Linked DNA regions of Anolis sagrei. The protein of the gene in region 2 interacts with the protein of the main gene of each other region in a pairwise test. Links are inferred from orthologs where the notes say so. Each region holds a gene or a part of one and is shown on either strand. Other genes may lie near its edges.

Region 1 (10,532 bases), about 4.2 Mb from region 2:
ACAATAACAATTTTAAAAAAAATTAAAATACCGTTGTAAACCAGAAGAACAGGAATATATAATGAGGCACAATGAATTTCAGCAACGGAAAATAAAAGCAGTGTTAAAACTTCCGATTAAAAAAAAACATTTAAGGTTAGGGTAAAGGTTTCCTCTGACATTAAGCCTAGTCATATCTGACTCTTGGGGGTGGTGCTAATCTCCATTTCTAAGCCGAAGAGCCAGCGTTGTCTGTAGACTCCTCCAAGGTCATGTGGCCGGCATGACAGCATGGACCACCATTACCTCCCCTCTGGAGCAGTACCCATTGATCTACTCACATTTGCATGTTGTTGAACTGCTAGGTTGGCAGAAGCTGGGGCCAAAACAGGGAGCTCACCCCGCTCCCCAGATTCAAACCGCCAGCCTTTCGGTCAGCAAATTCAGCAGCTCAGCAATTTAACTCGCTGTGCCACCAGGGGGCTCTAAAATAACATTTATTTTAAATGTTCTTCTAAAACCAATAATATTTTAAAATCCCACTTCACCTGATATTAAAGAAATCGCAAAGAAGATTCCCTGATGTGTTTTCTGAGAAAACTATTCCAAAAAAGGATGCCAATAATGAAAATACAGTCTTCCCCAGTAACTATTCACCACTTTGTGGTGTCATCCATAGACACAGGAAAAGAACAGTGTCCCCCCCTAAAAGAATCAAAAGGATAATCCGATTTCCACATGATGTATCAGAAGGACAGTTTCCATAACACCTTTTAAAGGCATGAAATAGTTTAAGACGGCACGCTCAAGTGATGCTATGATCTTGTGAGGTAAACGGCACAGCTGATTGCTCTAATCAAGGATAGGGAAGGTATGGCCTCCGGATATAGCTGTACTCCAATCCCATTGTCCATTACTATTGGCTATACTGGATAGGGCCGATGGGAACTGCACTGTAGTAACATATGGAGGGCCATGTACTCCCCAATCCTACTTTTATTTTGCTTTAGACATACTTTATTCACATGCAATTTGATAATAATGCCTATTAAGGGCATTAAATATTTATACAATAATATATATGGGTTCCTGAGTGAAATGTATATAACAAAAATACCACTTGTATAACATAAACAATGATATAATTCAACAACAGTATATAAACATGCTGCACTGTTAACCTCACAGTGACAACAAACAGTATGGTGCAAACTTTTAGTACAGTCGTATTTTCTTATAAGTAGCTTGAGTAACAGCCTACCACAATTCAACAACAATATATATACATGCTGCACTGTTAACCCCACAGCTACAACAAACAATGTGGTGCAAACTTTTAGTACAGTCGTGTCGTCTTATAAGTAGCTTGTGGGACAGCCGACCACGACCGGTTTCGGCCTACCTCAGGCCTTCCTCTGGTGGAAAAATTTTGCACATGAAAGTATGTTCTCCACGGGAGATACAAATCTTTTTGGGTTGGTATGAGATACTCTGCTTTGAGTTTAGTTCTGGCTGCGAGTATGCCAGAACTAAACTCAAAGCAGAGTATCTCAGTCTACTGGGAGGAGGCTGATAGCCATACAGTGGGTAGCTTTCACAATGTTTAACCTTATTTCTCTTGCAATTGGCAGCAACTTCCCATTGTACATGGGGGTGGGGGGGGGGATGCCAGCTAGATTATAGAGTCTATCAATAGGTGTAATCCTGTGATTATTCTACATGTTTCATAACAGTGACAAATGTAAGATACAACCATGACAAATACAAGATACTCCACTTAGGCAGAAAAAACAAAATGCAAAGATACAGAATGGGGGACGCGTGGATCGGGAGCAGTACACGTGAAAAAGATCTTGGAGTCCTTGTGGACAACAAGTTAAACATGAGCCAACAATGTAACACTGCAGCTAAAAAAGCCAATGGGATTTTGGCCTGCATAAATAGGAGTATAGTGTCTAGAGCAGGGGTCCTCAAACTAAGGCCCGGAGGCCGGATGCAGCCCTCCAAGGTCATTTACCCGGCCCTTGCTCAGGGTCAATCTAAGTCTGAAACAACTTGAAAGAACATAACAACAACAACAATCCTATCTCATCAGCCAAAAGCAGGCCCACATTTCCCATTGAAATACTAATAAGTTTATATTTATTAACATTGATCCTCATTTTAATTATTGTATTGTTTTAAAGTGTTTATTACACTACAAATAAGATATGTGCAGCGTGCACAGGAATTCATGTTTTATTTTTCAAATTATAATCCGGCCCTCCAACAGTTTGAGGCACTGTGACCTGGCCCTCTGCTTAAAAAGTTTGTGGACCCCTGGTCTAGATCCAGGGAAGTCATGCTACCCCTCTATTTTGCCATGGTCAGACCACACCTGAAATACTGTGTCCAATTATGGGCACCACAATTGAAGAGAGATATTGACAAGCTGGAATGTGTCCAGAGGAGGGTGACTAAAATGATCAAGCGTCTGGAGAACAAGCCTTATTAGGAGCAGTTTAAAGAGCTGGGCATGTTTAGCTTGCAGAAGAGAAGACTGAGAGGAGATATGATAGCCATGTATAAATATGTGAGAGGAAGTCATAGGGAGGAGGGAGCAAGCCTGTTTTCTGCTGCTCTGGAGAATAGGACGAGGAACAATGGCTTCAAACTACAAGAAAGGAGGTTTCACCTGAACCTCCTGACTGAGAGGTGTTCAGCAGTGGAACTCTCTACCCCGGAGTTTGGTGGAGACTTTTAAACAGAGGCTGGATGGCAATTTTCCTGCTTCTTGGTAGAAGGTTGGACTGGATGGCTCACGGGGTCTCTTCCAACTCTATGATTCTATGTTCTGTGAATAATTCAGTGCTATATTCACCTGCTTTGCGTTGGCAGATTCATACCAGACGGGGCAGGCATACTCAGCAATTGAGTAAGACAAGGCCAGGGCTGATGTTCCTATTAATTTTGGGTCTGCACCCCATGCGCTATCAGTAAGTTTCCTCAGGATGTTATTGTGTGCAGCTACTTTGTGTTCTCATAATGTGTCTTGAATGTTAGTGTTCCAACTAAGTAGACACCAAGATATTTAGGGTGGGAATGAGGGTGAGACAACAGAAAGAGAGAAATCTACCCTCGGAAGGAAAATTCACTCCTGAAGGACTTATTATGGGGGAAAAGGTTTCTCCACTGAAGCTTTAGCATAAATAATTGTTTCTACAACATGCCAAATTTTTCAAAATCCAATTTTCACAGGGAAAGAAAGTGAGGCAAAATCCTCTGAAGAGGAGCATAGATAGCAAAACTAACACCATAGGGGTGCTAACCCTTCCTTAAGCTATCTAGAGCTAAAAGACATATATATTTGGCTGGAGTTACACTTAAAATGTACCTGTTCCAACTTACATACAAATACAACTTATGTAGAAACCTACAGAACCAATCTTGTTCTTAACTTGGGGACTGCCTGTATCTTTGAATTGCATACTTTGCCTTATAGTACCCCCTCGTGGCTAAGATCTGCTTAGTGGGTAAAATAAAAGAAACCAACATTTACCGATATTTCCATTTTGCTTAGGTGTTCCTTTTCATTGATCTTCTGAGAAACGGAGCATGTACTACAAGTGTTTCCATTTTATATGGTAGTTCACTGTATTGAGTGAAAAGGTTTTAACTGTTTACTTAAAGTAATTGCAAACAAACTCCAAAAACATTTTCTGATTCTGCTATTCATCACCGTTCATGTACCATTTTATGCATTAGACACATGTCATGTGTTCTCTTTCTAACAAACTTAACTACAAAATTGTTGTCATTATTTGGTTAACTTGACTTCGAATTATGGTGACATTATGATTGAGAGATATTTAAGACATCCTGTCATGTGCTCAGGTCTTGCAAATTTAGGGATGTGGCTTCCTTGATTGATTGAATGAATGAATGAATCTATCAGTAATGTTGTCTTCTTGTTTCCTACCCCTTTCCACTTTATGGAACATAATTGTCCTTTTAAAAAAATCGACATAGATGAGATCCAATAAATTTTTGACCTGCTTTGTTTCAGTGCCTTTGGCAAGTACTGGTCAAATAAATTTAGTAAAGTGAGCCTTAAAAAGAACATATTATAAAAATCAGAATACAAAACTAATGTGCTATAATCTCCCTTCTATATTATAAAATGAAGATGAAAGTACAGCTCTGTTTCAAGCCTCCGGTCCAAAATAGGCAACACAAAGTCTGAAGGCTGCCCCGACCTGATTAGCAATCGTCGCCGCCTTTTCTACTGCCAAATATTTATTTATTTATTTATTTCCAACATTTGTACCTCGTCCTTCTCAAGACCCGAAGGGGGACTCAGGGTGGCTTACAACGGCAAAAATTCGATGCCCACACATACAGAATACATACACAATATATCACAACATTACACATTAAATACAACCATTAAGTTAAAATCAATTTAAAAACATTATTAACAACTATGTAGCCAAATCCAAGCCAATTCAGCGTCCCAAGACTTTGTCAGAGCCTGTCCATTGTCAGTTCACATAAACATTGCAATCGCTATCAAGCCTGCTCCACAAATGCCTGGCCCCAGAACCATGATTTAAGCTTCTTCCTGAAGGAGAGGAGGGATGGAGCTGACCTGATCTCCCTGGGGAAGGTGTTCCAGAGGTGGGAGGGCCACCACTGAGAAGGCTCTGTCTCTCGTCTCACCAAACACATTTGCGAAGAAGGTGGGACCGAGAGCAGAGCTTCCCTGGACGATCTTGAAGTCTGAGGCAGGGCGTAGAGGGAGATTCGTTCAGACAAGTAAGCTGAGCCAGAACCATATAGGGCTTTATAGGTCAAGACCAGCACTTTGAATTGTGTTCGGAAATGGACCGGCAGCCAGTGGAGCTGACACAACAGGGGGGGTGGTATGCTCCTTGTATGTCACTCCAGTTAGTAATCTGGCTGCCGCCTGTTGGACTAGTTGGAGTTTCTGAACAGTCTTTAAAGGCAACCCCACATAGAAAGGGCCAAGGCAGTGACATCTCCGGCCTATCCCTGTTCGGATATCAGCCAGCACACCAATGCCTTAAATTAAGAAATACCTTTCTAAGATCTCAGGAAATACTCGCAGGAATACTCAGCAAGCGAGAGCCCAAAAGTGGCAGGCTAAAACCCAGAACCTCAATCCATGGCTGATACGAAATGGGAAAGCCCTCCTGGACAAACAGAAGACTGGGTGACTTGGAAGGTTGTGAACAGATTGTGCTCTGGCACCACAAGATGCAGAACCAACCTTAAGAAATGGAGCCACAAAGTGGAGTCCACAACATGCAAGACCACCTGTTACAATGCAGCCTGAGCCCTGCCACGTGCACAATGGAGAACTTCTTATAGCAACACCAGAGGCACTCCAAGTGGCCAGCTACTGGTCAAAGGATATTTAATATGCCAAGTTTTTTAAAAACTCTGTGGTTTTTGAAATACATTACAACTGTACCCTTAGTTCGCTCCTGATAGGATAAATAAATAGTTCAAATCCCCACAGGGTCACGGAAGCCCATAGATGACCTTGGCCAATTCACACTCAACTTCAGAGGGAAGCAAAGACAAACTCCTTCGGATAAATTTTACCAAGAAATTTTGTAATATGTTAGCCTTAGGGTCTCCATAAGTTGGAAACTATGTGAATTCACACAACAAAAACAACATCTATTTTTAAAAATCCCAACACACTCAAAGCCTAGCCTCCAGCAGCTGTGTTTCTCGGGTACATCCTACCTTCTGTCTGTGATGAATATTCATGACAAAGCCTGTCTGGTTTCCAATGGAGACAGTAAACACACACCAGGAAAGCCTGAACTCTCTTGAGTGTTTTGTTTCAGCTCCGCAAGCAGAAGGAAAGCCGGCTGTAGTACTACCTACAACAACAGACTCTTGTTACACTTGCAGTGGGTAGACTGGGAACTCCTATAGCGATGTTGCCATTAGAAAGCACACATCTTTGTAGCATGTCTTTCAGAGACTGAAGTGCAAAACACAATAAAAAAACTGCTAACTTAAGCCTTTCAAAATAACTTTCTGGCTTAAATAGACACATACTCAATTTACTACCCTATAACTTACCTCCATGCATTGTACAAACTCATTCACCTAACAAAATAATGTTGGGCTAACCAATTTTGCATGTGACCCAAACTTATGCAAGAAATTGCTAGATCTTATCATGTGGTTGGTAGAAATATTGCTTATTGGATACTGGGGCTTTCTTTATACTTCTTGAACAAGATTTCTGTATGTAATCAACAACCTTAGAGAAAATGTTGGGCAAGACCACTGTGAATTTTTAGAGTCTTGCTAGCTCCTAATAGTGGAGAAAACACATAGAAGATGGGGAGTAGAGCAAATGGACTCAGGAGAAGTACATCAGCAGGGCACCGATCTCCAGCTACCAGCCCTGGGAGGGTTTTAACGTCATCTTCATCTCCTTCACTGAACAGCAACCAGTCTGGAAATACTCTTCTTGCCACCACACAGAGCTCGGGGAAACCATCCAGCAAAAGCCAGGGAGAAGAGAAAGGTCCTCTGGATCAGGTTCGACAAGACAAGGTTTGGAGAGAGTTTGTGGAGGCTGAAAGAAGGACAACCAAATATTGGTGAGTAACTCAGCACTATTTTTAAATTCTGCATTTTAGCACAAGAGTATTTCAATAACTGATTTAGTCACACATGTGCCGTGGTAATCTACAAGCTGTGACATCTATTTGTCGTCTTAATTCATAGACATTTCTCTTATGTTATCTTGTTCCTATGTTAACACTATCTCCATGTAGAAGGGGGCAATGATCTTACACAGATGGAGACAGAAGATAGATCTGAATTGTGTGCCAGGAGATCATTTGCAGATTAACAGTGATTTCGGATTCCCACTTATCCAACAACAACAAAAAATCATCTCCCTGTCCATACAATAAAACCTCTGTATCAACAGGGAATACATTCCCAGACTTTGTGTGGATATGTATGAGACAATGGATAATGGTGAATCGAATTGAAATGAAGGACCACCAGCCCAAGATCACAGAGGAAACAGAAAATGTCTAGAGATGACATATTTTGTCAGATGTGCATAAAGGAAATTGAGAATACTGAGAATACTGTGAGATCATATTATATATCATATTATGGAGGTCATACTGTATATCAGATTAGGCTGTGCAAAACATTGTTGTATTATTGTAAATGCATACTTCAAGTGCCAGTCAGCTCATGTAATAATAATAATAATAATAATAATAATAATAATAATAATAATAAGGCGGCTCTGGCATAAGCCAGTACAGGTGGTCCCAGTGGTGATCGGCACACTGGGTGCTGTGCCAAAAGACCTCAGCTGGCATTTGGAAACAATAAACATTGAGAAAATCGCGATCTGTCAACTGCAAAAGGCCACCTTACTTGGATCTGGCCACATCATTCGAAAATACTTCACACAGTCCTAGACACTTGGGAAGTGTTCGACTTGTGATTTTGTGATACGAAATCCAGCATATAGATCTCATTTGCTGTGACATGCTGTGGTTTTGTGTCAGTAAAATAATAATAATAATAATAATAATAATAATAATAATAATAATAATACTTTATTTATATTCCATCCTATCTCCCCAAGGGGAGTCAGGGTGGATTCCAATGACAAAAAGGCAAAACATTCAACAATAAATACAAAACAATACCGGCTATCCAGGAACCAGCATGGACAAACCCACATGTGCCAAATTAAACTCACATATAGACCAAATTATAGCATACAGTCTAAACTTAATTAAATTATATCTAGCATATGGCTTATGGGTTGTAGTAAGTAAATTACTCTACCGACTTCTGATTCCTCTCCCAGCTACCACATTGACCCTATTGTTTTGTACCTGGCTTTGGTCAGCAGATGTTGGAAACATGATAGAATCATAGAATCATAGAATCAAAGAGTTGGAAGAGACCTCATGGGCCATCCAGTCCAACCCCCTGCCAAGAAGCAGGAATATTGCATTCAAATCACCCCTGACAGGTGGCCATCCAGCCTCTGTTTAAAAGCTTCCAAAGAAGGAGCCTCCATCACACTCTGGGGCAGAGAGTTCCACTGCTGAACGGCTCTCACAGTCAGGAAGTTCTTCCTCTTGTTCAGATGGAATCTCCTCTCTTGTAGTTTGAAGCCATTGTTCCGCGTCCTAGTCTCCAAGGAAGCAGAAAACAAGCTTGCTCCCTCCTCCCTGTGGCTTCGCCTCACATATTTATACATGGGTATCATATCTCCTCTCAGCCTTCTCTTCTTCAGGCTAAACATGCCCAGCTCCTTAAGCCGCTCCTCATAGGGCTTGTTCTCCAGACCTTTGACCATTTTAGTCGCCCTTCTCTGGACACATTCCAGCTTGTCAATATCTCTCTTGAATTGTGGTGCCCAGAATTGGACACAATATTCCAGGTGTGGCCTAACCAAAGTGGAATAGAGGGGTAGCATTACTTCCCTAGATCTAGACACTATGCTCTCGGTGCAGAACATAGTCTTGATTCTTGCAGGGCAATAGTGAAGTCTTGCTGTGACCTCTGGAAACAAGTGTTGGAAAATACTTCAGTGTCTTTTGTCACTATTAAACACATTGATGGCAAATGCCCTGCGCTATACTCCCTTCTCAGTTATGATGTGAGAGCACCTATGCCAGGCATATAGCCTTCATCTGCAGGAGACTCTCTACATTCATGAAGAACTGCACTCTCTATCAAATTAGATGGAAAATCATTTGTGGGTGTGAATTATTTCCACACCTGCTGGGTCACCAAGGCATTTCTACATTGCATTCAGTGGGACTTACTCTCAAATAAGGGTAAACAGTATTTGTAGTCTCCGTTGCTCATTCTGTGGTGTATGGTAATGACAGCAGAAGTTGACTTTAAACATACGTATTTATTTGTTTTGGATACTTTAAAGGCCACTTTAATTTCTGCATGTTTCATACCAACTTAAGATGCTTTTTTTTATCCTGAAGGTATCAGAACTGGAGTTTTCTAAAGGATTATGATCCAATGGTAAGTTATAGATTTGCTTGTTAGAAAACACTGATTGAACATCTCCAATCTGGAATTCCAAAACACTCCAAAATCTGAAATTGTCCAACTAAGTGGCTGAGACAGGGACACTTTTATTTTCTGATAATTCTATGCACACAAACTTTGTTTCATGCACAGAATTATTCAAATATTGTGTATACCTTCAAGCTATGTGTGTCAGGTGCACATGAAACATCAATAATTTTCTATTTAATCCCATTTCCAAGATATCTCATAATATACAGGGTTAGTCAAAATGCATAGGCCAATAAGCCATTCAATTGAATGGCTTATTGGCCTATGCATTTTGACTAACCCTGTATATACATATATTTGGCCTACCCCCTGGAAATCAATTTTTCTAGATCTTCTCTTCTTTCTTTTATGCTTTCACCGCCACCTTACAGTTATTCATTGCCCCAAAATGCACCTGTGGCCATTACCATGCCACCCCGATCGCTGCAGTGCCCAACAGCAGGCGGTAACGCCCACTTTGGGAATCACTGTTCTATTTTATTATTTAAAGATACTGTTTTCCTAATTGCTAGTTGCCTGAAGCAAACAACAGCACATAATTGCCACCATTTGTGTGAATTTCTAAGGGTTCACCTACACTGTTGAATGAATGCAGTTTGACACTACTTTAATTGCAGAGATTTAATGCTGAGGCTAAAGAATGCTGTGCCTCATCAAACCACAAATCCCACTCTACAGTGTAGGTGCCTCCATCTGGTCACTGCTAAATACGAAATCCTGTTGAATTCCTCAAGGTTTGAGAATGTTACTAGCCATGTTGACTGAAACGTTCTAGGAATACTGCCATATAAAATCCAGATTATCTGCTTTGAACTGGATTATATGGCTGTGTAGACTTATATAATCTAGTTCAAAGCAGATAATATGGATTATTTTCTTGATAATCTGGATTATATAGCAGTGTAGAAGGGATCATAATTTCCACCCCCACCCCAATTAGTTCTAGAGCTAGATATCTAGATAACTTGTCATTTCTCTTTTTTTCCAGGGCAGGAAAAAGGAGCCTGAACCACTCCCTGAATATGTGTCAGTATTTTCAGACAAAATTCCTAACACCACCAGCCATATGGTTGGCAGCAGAATGAATACTGATCTTGGTAAAACATTGGTTAAAATGGATTTCTTCCTCAGCTATGGAAGAAGGAAAAAGAAACTTGAACAGGAACTCCAGGCTTCCTAGAATTAAAAAGCAACATTTTTGTTTTGAAAAGAATATACTGCTCACTTTGCAAATGATAAAATATGACAATATTGGCAAAATTACATTGTTTTCCTTCAAATGCCAAATTTATTGACACTGGCCAATAAAAGTACAAGGTTTCTAGTAATCAAAAACTTACTCCAAACTTAGCTAATATGATCCTGGGAAGACGAGTATGAGAGCCCGTCCAGACAGTACCTTTATCCCAGGAGCTTCCGCAGCAAACAGGAGGGCAGCC
Region 2 (10,144 bases):
TTAAGGAACTGCAAAAGCACTCTTCTAAAAGCTAGGATTTTCATCTTAGGGCCCTTCCACACAGCCATATAGCCCAGAACATCAAGGTAGAAGATCCCACAATATCTGCTTTGAACTGGGTTATCTGAGTCCACACTGGAATATATTCCAGGTCAAAGCAGATAATGTGGGGTTGTATTTAGCTGTGTGGGAGGGGCCTTAGATGAGAACCAGAAATCATGTTAAATATGATTAACTCATATAATGTTGATGTCGCCTATTACAAGAGTGCATTGTATCCATGTAAGAAAAAAATTACTAAATCAGACCACAGGGGGCCCTTCCACACAGCCCTCTATCCCAGAATATCAAGGCAGAAAATCCCACAATATCTGCTTTGAACTGGGTTATCTGAGTCCTCACCCAGATAATGTGGGATTTTCTGCCTTGATATTCTGGGATAGAGGGCTGTGTGGAATGGTCCAAAGATATTGAGTGCCATCTGGCTTTTGTTGCCTAGGTTCAGATATCATTTAAACTCATTGTTTGCCTTTTAAGGTGCCTGCTGTACTAATTGTCTAGATTTTAATTTAAAAAGACATTTTAAAGTGTCCGATATGTATAGACCATAAAGATATTGAATTGACGTCATCATGGACTATACATGTCGGGTATTTTAACATGTCTTTTAGAAATGCAAATCTGACATGGGAATCTGAGGCCCCTTTCTACACGGCCATATAATCCAGATTATCAAATCAAATAATCCACATTATCTGCTTTGAACTAGGTTATATGAGTCTATACAGCCATATATTCCAGTTCATTTTATGGCAGTATAGATGGGACTTAGGAACTGAAGAAATATGATATGATTGGGTCTCTAGACACCTGTGTATCATGCAAATGTGAGTAGATCAATAGGTACCGTTCCGGCGGGAAGGTAATGCACTCCATGTAGTCATGCTGGCCACATGACCTTGGAGGTGTCTATGGACAACGCTGGCTCTTTGGCTTAGAAGTGGGGATGAGCACCACACCCCAGAGTCGGACACGACTGGACTTAATGTCAGGGAAAAACCTTTACCTTTCCTATACACACACACACACACACACAAATGAACTAGCCAGAGGATTCATATTGGAATCCTAATATTCCTAGTTGGATTCACTCAATCGGTGTTGTAGAAAAGCTGTTGTTTATACGTCTTTGTTATTGGAATTTCCTCATTAACAGAATGAAGATTACCCTTCTCCAGCTTTCATGTTCCCTCCATCTGAGCTGGAATTATCACAGTAACTGGCATAGAAAGCTTAGAAGCAATTCATTGTTTTGAACATTTTTGTTAATGCAAAATATTTTGTATCTGCTTGATTCGAAATGCATGTTTAACATCCAACTGCTTCATAAAAGACCTGCTCCTGACATTGAGAACTGCTACAACAAGTTGATCTGGGTTGATCTGGGTCAGTGTGCCACAATTTCCATACTCGTATGGAAGATGTCGCTATGGAAAATCATTCAAAGTCATCTTAGTATTGACATTTTTAGTTTACTTTTCAGGTTATTTTGTTTCTTGTTTCAGGCCTTTAAAGCAAGGATGTGTGAAGTTCCTACGATTAAGACGTTCCTCCAGCCTGGCAGTCAAAGGAAACCTCCACCTGATGAAAAGTTACTGCAAACAGCAAATAGAGTTTTCAATAGGAAGTAAAAACAGAAGATGTGTTAAAGCCTATTAGAGAAGTAGCGGTTCTGTACATCTCTAAAAATATCTCTTAGCATTGAAGGGTTGCATCTAGATACTAGTTTCCTATGATTTAACTGATAAACATTTATAATAATTGTTAATCCAAACGTTTTTTTCCTCTACAGCTGTGTTTCTCAACCAACCTAATGCCGCCACCCCTTAATAGAGTTCCTCATGTTGTGGTGACCCCCAACCATCAAATTATTTTCATTGTTACTTCATAACTGTAATTCTGCTACTGTTGTGAACTGTAATGTCAATATCTTATATGCAGGATGCATTTTCATTCACTGAACCATATTTGGCGCAAATACCCGATGCGCCCAAATTTGAATACTGGTGGAGTTGGGGGGGGGGGTGATTTTGTCATTTGGGAATTGTAGTTGCTGGGATTTAGAGTTCACCTACAATCAAAGAGCATTCTGAACCCCACCAACGATAGAATTGGGCCAAACTTCCCACGCAGAACACCCATGACCAACAGAAAATACTGGAGGGATTTGGGAGAAATTGACAGTGATTTAGAAGATAACACACCTGCTCTCCCCTCCCTGCTTGGAGCCTCAGAAACACCTAAAGCCCTCCTCCTGCTGTGATTGGCTGAGAGGCTGGCCAATCACCCAGGAGGAGGGCTTTTGGTGTTTCCAAAGAGGAAGAGAAGGACAAGGGGAGAGATCTTCAGCCTTCTCTACCAAAAATAATCAGAAATATATGTTTTATGTTAGTCTTTGGCGACCTCTCTGAAACCCCCCTCGTGACTCCCCCAGGGGTCCCAACCTTAAGTTGAGAAATGCTGCTCTACAGGCTATCCCCAAGCTATGAACAAGATGAGGTCTGTAGCTTTGTTCTTGGGTTAAATTTATAAGCCAGAGCAGGTGCTTTTAAAGGTGTAACTCCATATGTGTGTCTGTGTGTACACATATATACACACATACACATATACAGACACGCACACACTTTGGATAACACAGAGTTGACATCCTTGGGGACTTTTTTTTTTTTGCAGTCTGTCCCCCTGTTCAGAGGATTTCACCTCACTTTCTTTCCCCGTGATAATTGGATTTTAAAATATTTGGCTTGCTATTGGTGAGAAAGCTTCAATGGAGAGAACCTTTCCCCATGATAACTCTTCCAGGAGTGAATTTCCTTCTGAAGGTTAGATTTCTTTCACTTCCTGTCATCTCACTCCTGCTTGTAACTATGCGTCATTTGCAAGTTGGATGTTTGTTACTCGGGGACTGCCTGTGTATAAGAAAACAAACATCCAAATATATATTGGGGAAATACATGAGAAATCTGATAATTAACAATAAAAATGAATAAGAATCAATATTTTGTTTACTGCTCCATGTATATCGGCAGCTCAATTTCTAATATTTTGCTCCAATATAGGTTTGGAATATTAAAGGTGGTTTGTAACAAAAACAAATTCAATTCCTTTTACTTTCAAAAATGCCATTAAAATGTCAAAAATTAGAAGAATAAGAAAACATAAGTACTGTACTATCATAACAAAGAACAATCAAGTACTGAAATACATGGCATGATGAGACACAGATAAGAAACTGGCAAATAATTCAGAAAAATAGATGAATTTTTATATTTTTGTTCTTCTCCATCCAACTGGCATCCATGTTGCACACTTTGCAACACAACATGGATGAATAAGGAATGTGGAGTATGTATACAGCAGCACTTCTATGATATTTTGTTCTCCTCCATACAACTGACATCCATGTTATACACATTGCAACAGAACATGGATGAATAAGGGATGTGGAGTGTAGAGCGGCAGAAAGATTACAACATGCAATTATTTTTCAACCACTAATGCAATGGCCTCACATTGTTTGGGCAACTCGGGTTAACCGTGATAGGTCATGGGTTTTGGTCCTGAGTAGAAGTGCCCTCATTTAATGCAACATTGAACTGAATTATATGAGTCTGCACTGCCATATGATCCAGTTCAATCTCCATTATAAATGCAGTGTGGATGGGGTTGGTGTTTTACTTCTTTCTCTGTAAAATAATTAAAATTTACCCTTTTATATCTTAAAAATATTAAACTTTCCAACCATTGGGATATAAAAACACAAAACATTTGTGTTTTGATATTTCAATTTTTGATATCCCAATGGAACATGAAACAATAATGTTCCAAAAATAGCTCTGCAGAATATCCAACACAAAGAAAAGGCTTATTTGGTTATACAACAAACAAGCAAGCAGAATAGCGCTAGGAAAAAACTGCAAAATTCAATAAATAAAATAAAATAAAATAAATGGTGAATGAAGCAAAAGGAGCGACTTGTGGCAACACAGCTGGAAGTTCTCTCTGTCTAGTCACTGAAAGTTGAAGCTTGAGAAGAGGGAAGTGGAATGGAGAAAAGTTACACTCACTCCACCACATAGATTTACTAAGTACTGTGGCAACAACACTAGTTACTTATTGTACCACTCCTAACACTGGACTTAAGCATCTTCAGAATCCTATTCATGGGTTTCTCTTGTGAATTAAAAGTTACAGCCATACAATGGAGGAAAACTAGGAATGCCACGTGATATTATAAAATAAGCAGCACAATCACATACTGTTAAAACAGTCACTAAAGTGTGCTCCAACCCTCATGCAAAAATATAAAAAAAATACATTTTAAAGATATTTAAGGTAACCATATAATTTTTCAGTTTATTCCTTGCACTATTATGGATTCTCTTTGTGTACAATCATTTCCTCACAACCTCTGAGGATGCCTGCCATAGATGCAGACAAAACATCAGGAGAGAATGCATCGAGAACATGGCCATACAGCCCGAGAAACCTACAACAACCCAGTGATTTCAGCCATGAAAGCCTCCGACAATACATTTCCTTACAGTTTAAAAGACATCCAAGATTTTTTTTTGCAATTACTATTTAAGACTCCAGCTATATTTACCAAAGTGCTGGCAATGTTGATTTGTTAACTTGGATTGTCACTTACAGGAATCCTCAGAGTACTGTTGGTCACTGCACTGCAAAACAAAGTATGGCAACATATCCTAATGGGAAAAGGTTGAGAATGGTAAAACCCATGTTTCTTAGGCCATCCATATTTATTATGCTGGAAGGAATAGAGAGATTTACATGTACTTGGGAAACTCAAAAGTGTGTTACTGTGCTACTGTGAAGTAGTAGCATTAAAACACTAAATGGTGGATTCTCATGAGAAGGACCCAAATCTTAAAATCACCTAATTCTTCTCGTTAAACAGGTGGGGAATATGGCTAAAATGGGACAATATACGAGTTTAGAAGATGGTCTATGAGATGGTGTGCTAAACAGAAGGCATGATCTGCATTTTGAAGGCATTCTTAGATGGATCTTGTGATAAGAACTATGTAGGCATGTTTTCCTTTCATCTAAGACAGGTTTGGTCATCCCTGAACACACTTTTAGACACACTTTTAGACCACCTTCAGGTTATCTGGGAATGGTAGCTATCAGACCATGGCATCTGATACATTAGCCAAAGAAAGCCCTCCTTCCATTATATCCCAAAAACTTTTCCCAACCCGCAACCTCCCATGCAAAGTGGAGTCCATGACATGCAAGTGCGGAGAAGAGCAAACTACTGTAGTGCAACCTGAGCCCTGCAAGATACACAATGGAGGACCTTCTTACAGCGACACCAGAGGCACTCCAAGTGGCCAGTTTCTGGTTAAAGGACATTTAGCATAATGTCAAGTTCTTAACTTTGTTTGTGGTTTTTTTTTTTAAATACATTATAACTGTATTCTCAATTCTGTTCTGACAAGATAAATAACTCCATGAAAAATTGACGGTTTTACACAATAGCTTTCACCAAATTCACGATTGACTGTTTTACTACATGTCCAAGGGTCTGTTATAGTACATTTTCCTTTAAATATTAGTAAGCCCAGCCATTTCAAATGCAAAAAACAGGTTTGAAAAATACATAAGCCAGACAGGGAAGACAGTCAGAGGGAGAGGTAGTCGGAGTCTTCCCCAAAGTAGGTGGAGTTTCCTGCATTACAAAAGTCTGAGGCACTGTTCTTGCAGACACGAGGGAAGGTATCTTGAGCCTTGCAGAAGGTAAGTATGGCAGAACAGATATTTTCTTCAACCACTAAATGCTTTGAATTCTGCTGGTGTAGGAAGAACGGATTAAATATAAACAAAACTGCTGGTCACAACAGAAACAATATATAATTTTTGCTGATTTAAGGTTTACAATCCTTGCTGTGTATTTGTAGATCTTTGACAGATGAAAGAAGATCATCTGTGAAAGATCTACAAATACACCGCATGTCAAAGCCAGCCAAGTAGGCAGAAGGCATAGAGTTGATTTGCCAAGGCAAAGGAATGCATGTACAAATTTTGGAACGTAAAAGATTAAAATATACTTAAATGTACTTAGATATATTGGAGAAGGGGTGAAATGTACTTTAGACTGCCATTCTTTGCTTTGAATCTCTTTGAATAGATTAAATACTTTTTCTCCTGCTGTAACTGTGAATTGTGTGTGTTGGGCAGGGAGTTCCGGTCTTCTGTATTCCAAACAACATTGCTTTGTACGAAAAGAATATTGTGAGAGTTTATCACAATTTATTAGAAAGTGCTGGGGGGAAAACATGTGGAATACAGTAATTTTTTTAAAAAAAAGAATATATATTTTCAGGCTTAAATGTCATACATTCAAGTAGGAAAGTACCACTGAAATCAACAGGTCTTATTTCTGAATAGGCATGTCTCCTGATGCATGTACACAGTACAATTAATGCAGTTCAACATCACTTTGGAAACCCAGTGGCACAATGGGTTAAACCCTTGTGCCAGCAGGACTGTTGACTGACAGGTCAGCAGTTCGAATCCAGGGACAGTGAGTTGAGCTCCCTCTGTCAGCTCCATCTCCCCATGCAGGGACATGGGAGAAGCCTCCCACAAGGATGATAAAACATCAAAACATCCGGGCGTCCCCTAGGCAACATCCTTGCAGACAGCCAGTTCTCTCGCTCCAGAAGCAACTTGCAGTTTCTCAAGTCGCTCCTGACACGAAAAAAAATCATTTTAATTGTCATGGCTCAATGCTATGGGATTTGTAGTTTGGTGAGAAATTAGGACAATGATAGCAAACTGCATTAATTCTGCAGTATAGAATCAGCTTAGGATTGCATGGAAAGTCTGCAATTCTCAGACCAGAGAGCAACTTGGTTTTTCTAGACAAAAAATTCAATAAACAGGTATCAGTTCTCTATGGGAAGAGACTTTCCTTGGAGTAGGCATAATGGGAGTTACTTCTAAACAAACATACTTTTGACTGTTTGCTTAAAATGTTAGCTGTTCTACATATGCTTAATGCAGCAGCGTATGTTTAAGATGAGACAAGAGTGTAGTATCTGCATTAGGATGATAAGCCTATCAGTCAGTACAGATGCTGCGGACAGCTTCTCCTTAAAGCTTCTTACTTGGAGTCAATCTAAGACAACATAACCTTTGGCTGTTCAAATATTCTTAACTTTTTTGTAAATAAAAATGAAGGACATCATGGTGTGGATTCCTCAGACATCCATATATTCTTGGCAGAGTTAGAAGCAGCGGGATGAAATGCAGAATGGTTACAATCCAGTGAACATTCTCTTGATAGTTACGTAGATTACACAAGATGTGTTTGGTCTAAGTAATCTTGAGCATGAAGCAATGGTGGCATCAGTTTCCTGTTTCAATGGTGAAGGTCTGTATTAAATCATAGGAAACAGTTCTGCATGTAAACTGTTCCTGTGTAGTTTTGCCACTCATTTTATTATTTCTTTTGCAAAGTTATTAATATAGGTATATCAGAACTGTGCCAGTGCTTCGACACACTGATCATGGTTAGAAGTATACCATAGAGTCCATCTACACAGTAGAATTAATGCAGTTTGACATCACTTTTTACTACCATGGCTCAATACTATGGAATGCTGGGAGTTGTAGTTTTCTAAGGCATTTAGCTGATTCTGCAAAGAGTGCTGGTACCTTAGCAAGCTACAACTCCCAGTATTCCATAGCATTGATCCATGGCAGTAGGAGCCATGGTGGCACAATGAGTTAAACCCTTGAGCCGGCTGACCTGCTGACCTGAAGGCTGGCAGTTCGAATCCGCAAAACATGGTGAGCTCCCATCTGTCAGCTCCAGCTTCCCATGAGAGAAGCCACCCATGAGAGAAGTCACCCACAGGATGGTAACATATCCAGGCATCCTCTGGGCAACGTCTCTGCAGACGGCCAATTCTCTCACCCCAGAAGTGACTTGCAGTTTCTCAAGTCGCTTCTGAAACAATTTTTAAAAATCCATGGCAGTTAAAGTGGTATAGAATTAGTATGGCTTCCATAGTCTTTTTCATACAGTTATAGATTTGTGCTGGACTGCTTTCCCCTGAACCCTCCTAGGGTTTTAAAAACCTATGGTCTTTTTAACCAAAATGCAACAAATTGTCTAAATCTGTATCAAATATCTTGCAGAACTTCAAGATATTTTGTTCTGAATTTGAGTCTCTACCTGCATTACATCATAGAAGATCGCTTCATTTTGTTCGTTCCTTACCGTAATATTTAATATAATAATAATACAATTATTTAACAGAAATACTAGTGTCAAAATAAGTAGTGCCCGAGTCTGTAGAATCATAGAATAATAGTCAGAAGAGGTTGCATGGGCCATCCAGTCCAACCCACTGCCATGCAGGAAAAGCACAACCAAAGTGCCCCTAACGAACGGCCATTTGGCCTCTGTTTAAAAGCCTCCAAGGAAGGAGCTGCCACCACACTCCAGGGCAGAGAGTTCCACTGCTGAACAGCTTTCAGAGTTAGGAAGTTCTTCCTAATGTTCAGAAGGAATTTCCTTGCCTGTAGTTTGAAGCCATTGTTCCGCATCCTAGTCTCCAGGGCAGCAGAAAGCAAACCTGCTCCCTCTTCCTTATGTCATACTTTCAAGCATTGAAACATGGTTACCACACCTCCTCTCAACCTTCTCTTCTGTAGGCTAAACATACCCAGCTCTTTAAAACGCTCCTCATAGGGCATGGTCTGTAGAAGTGGGAGAGACTTTGTGCACTGTCAAGATGTTTATGGAACAACTCAGTCACAGCAACATCATTAATCTCTCCATTTTTGAGGACAATGTTGGGCTTAGATCACCTTTTCATGATGGGATTAGACTATGCTTTCACCCAGGCTTTGAATGCTAGCACTTATGAGTCAACTAGGGTTTGTGCCCTTATCTCATAGCCACACCCATATAACTCCTCTCCCCGCTTTTTTGGATCAACTATTGCCACAAGAAAGCATGATGATGTGGTTAACGTTTAGCAATTTCAGGCAATACACCATTTACCAGTTTTATATTGTGACTGTGGGCACTTTCAACCAACCACTTCTCAAAAGGAAACAGGGCTAGCAAACCAGAATACAAGTGGCGAAGATGAATGAAGAAAGAGACATAAATTGTGTATGTCCCATGAGATCCTTTAATTGGCCATGGCTTATTAGCATAAGACTACAAAATTTATTTATTTATTTATTTACAGCTTTTATATTCTGCCCTTCTCATCCTGCAGGGGACTCAGGGCGGATTACAGTGTACACATATACGGCAAACATTCAATGCCAATTTTTGACATACAAACATATACAGACATAGACAGAGGCTATTTAACTTTTTCTGGCCGCCAGGGGAGCCAAAACCACAAATATTCTTAGAAACAACATGTAGCAAGCACAACCCAGTTCCAATCTGCCAATCCATAAGATTTCAATAGATATACAGTTGTCCATCCACATTTGTGGTTTTGACTTTTGAGGATTTGATTATTTACATATTTTATTAAATCTGTCTAGGAATCTCTAGGTCCTCCAATGTTACTCTATTGTCAATGTTCTCCAGGAGGAGTAGAGATTTCCAGAGAGAACACCAATATAGGACTTTCGAGGTCCTCCAGTAATAATAATAATAATAATAATAATAATAATAATAATTCCCTCCCAATGTGTGATGAGAAATTGTTGCTAACTGTGTGAGAAATAAGGTTGAACACTGTGAAAGCCACCCACTGCATGGCTATCAGCCTCTTCTTGGTAGACTCAAATTAATGAAGAGTTCCATAAGAACCACCACTCCTCTTAATGTTCCCCCAGCAATAGCAAGTGTATCACTCTGGGCAGCGAAACCAGGACATGCCAAATGGATGGCCCCCCATGAAGGTCTTCCTCCAGGGGCAAACAAAAAATGGGCAACTTGGAAGTCCCTGAACACACTCAGAAGTGGAGTGGGCAGATCAAAAGACAACCCGGTAAAATGGCACAACCCTGCCAAAACAGCACACCTTGTGTGACTGGAACAGAACAGATAACTCTGCAATTAAAATCTAGTCCACAA

The links. The genes of interacting proteins can lie anywhere in the genome.
Region 1: the proteins of glutathione S-transferase A4-like (region 2) and C1H2orf50 interact in binary tests that used the Homo sapiens proteins (3 or more experiments, as listed by UniProt). The two-hybrid records come from large-scale screens. The link is inferred for Anolis sagrei from reciprocal best matches to the Homo sapiens genes GSTA4 and CIMIP5.

What each region holds. Positions count from the first base shown.
Region 1 is NC_090021.1:129,702,088-129,712,619, reverse strand, and holds the start of C1H2orf50 (uncharacterized protein C2orf50 homolog), read left to right. Parts: upstream 1-5,993; 5' UTR 5,994-6,342; coding exon 6,343-6,608; intron 6,609-8,996; coding exon 8,997-9,036; intron 9,037-10,081; coding exon 10,082-10,273; 3' UTR 10,274-10,532.
Region 2 is NC_090021.1:125,497,785-125,507,928, reverse strand, and holds the start of glutathione S-transferase A4-like, read left to right. Parts: upstream 1-5,715; 5' UTR 5,716-5,823; intron 5,824-10,144. Other genes in the region: glutathione S-transferase A4-like, read left to right, coding at 1,566-1,691. UniProt on the Homo sapiens protein: Conjugation of reduced glutathione to a wide number of exogenous and endogenous hydrophobic electrophiles. This isozyme has a high catalytic efficiency with 4-hydroxyalkenals such as 4-hydroxynonenal (4-HNE).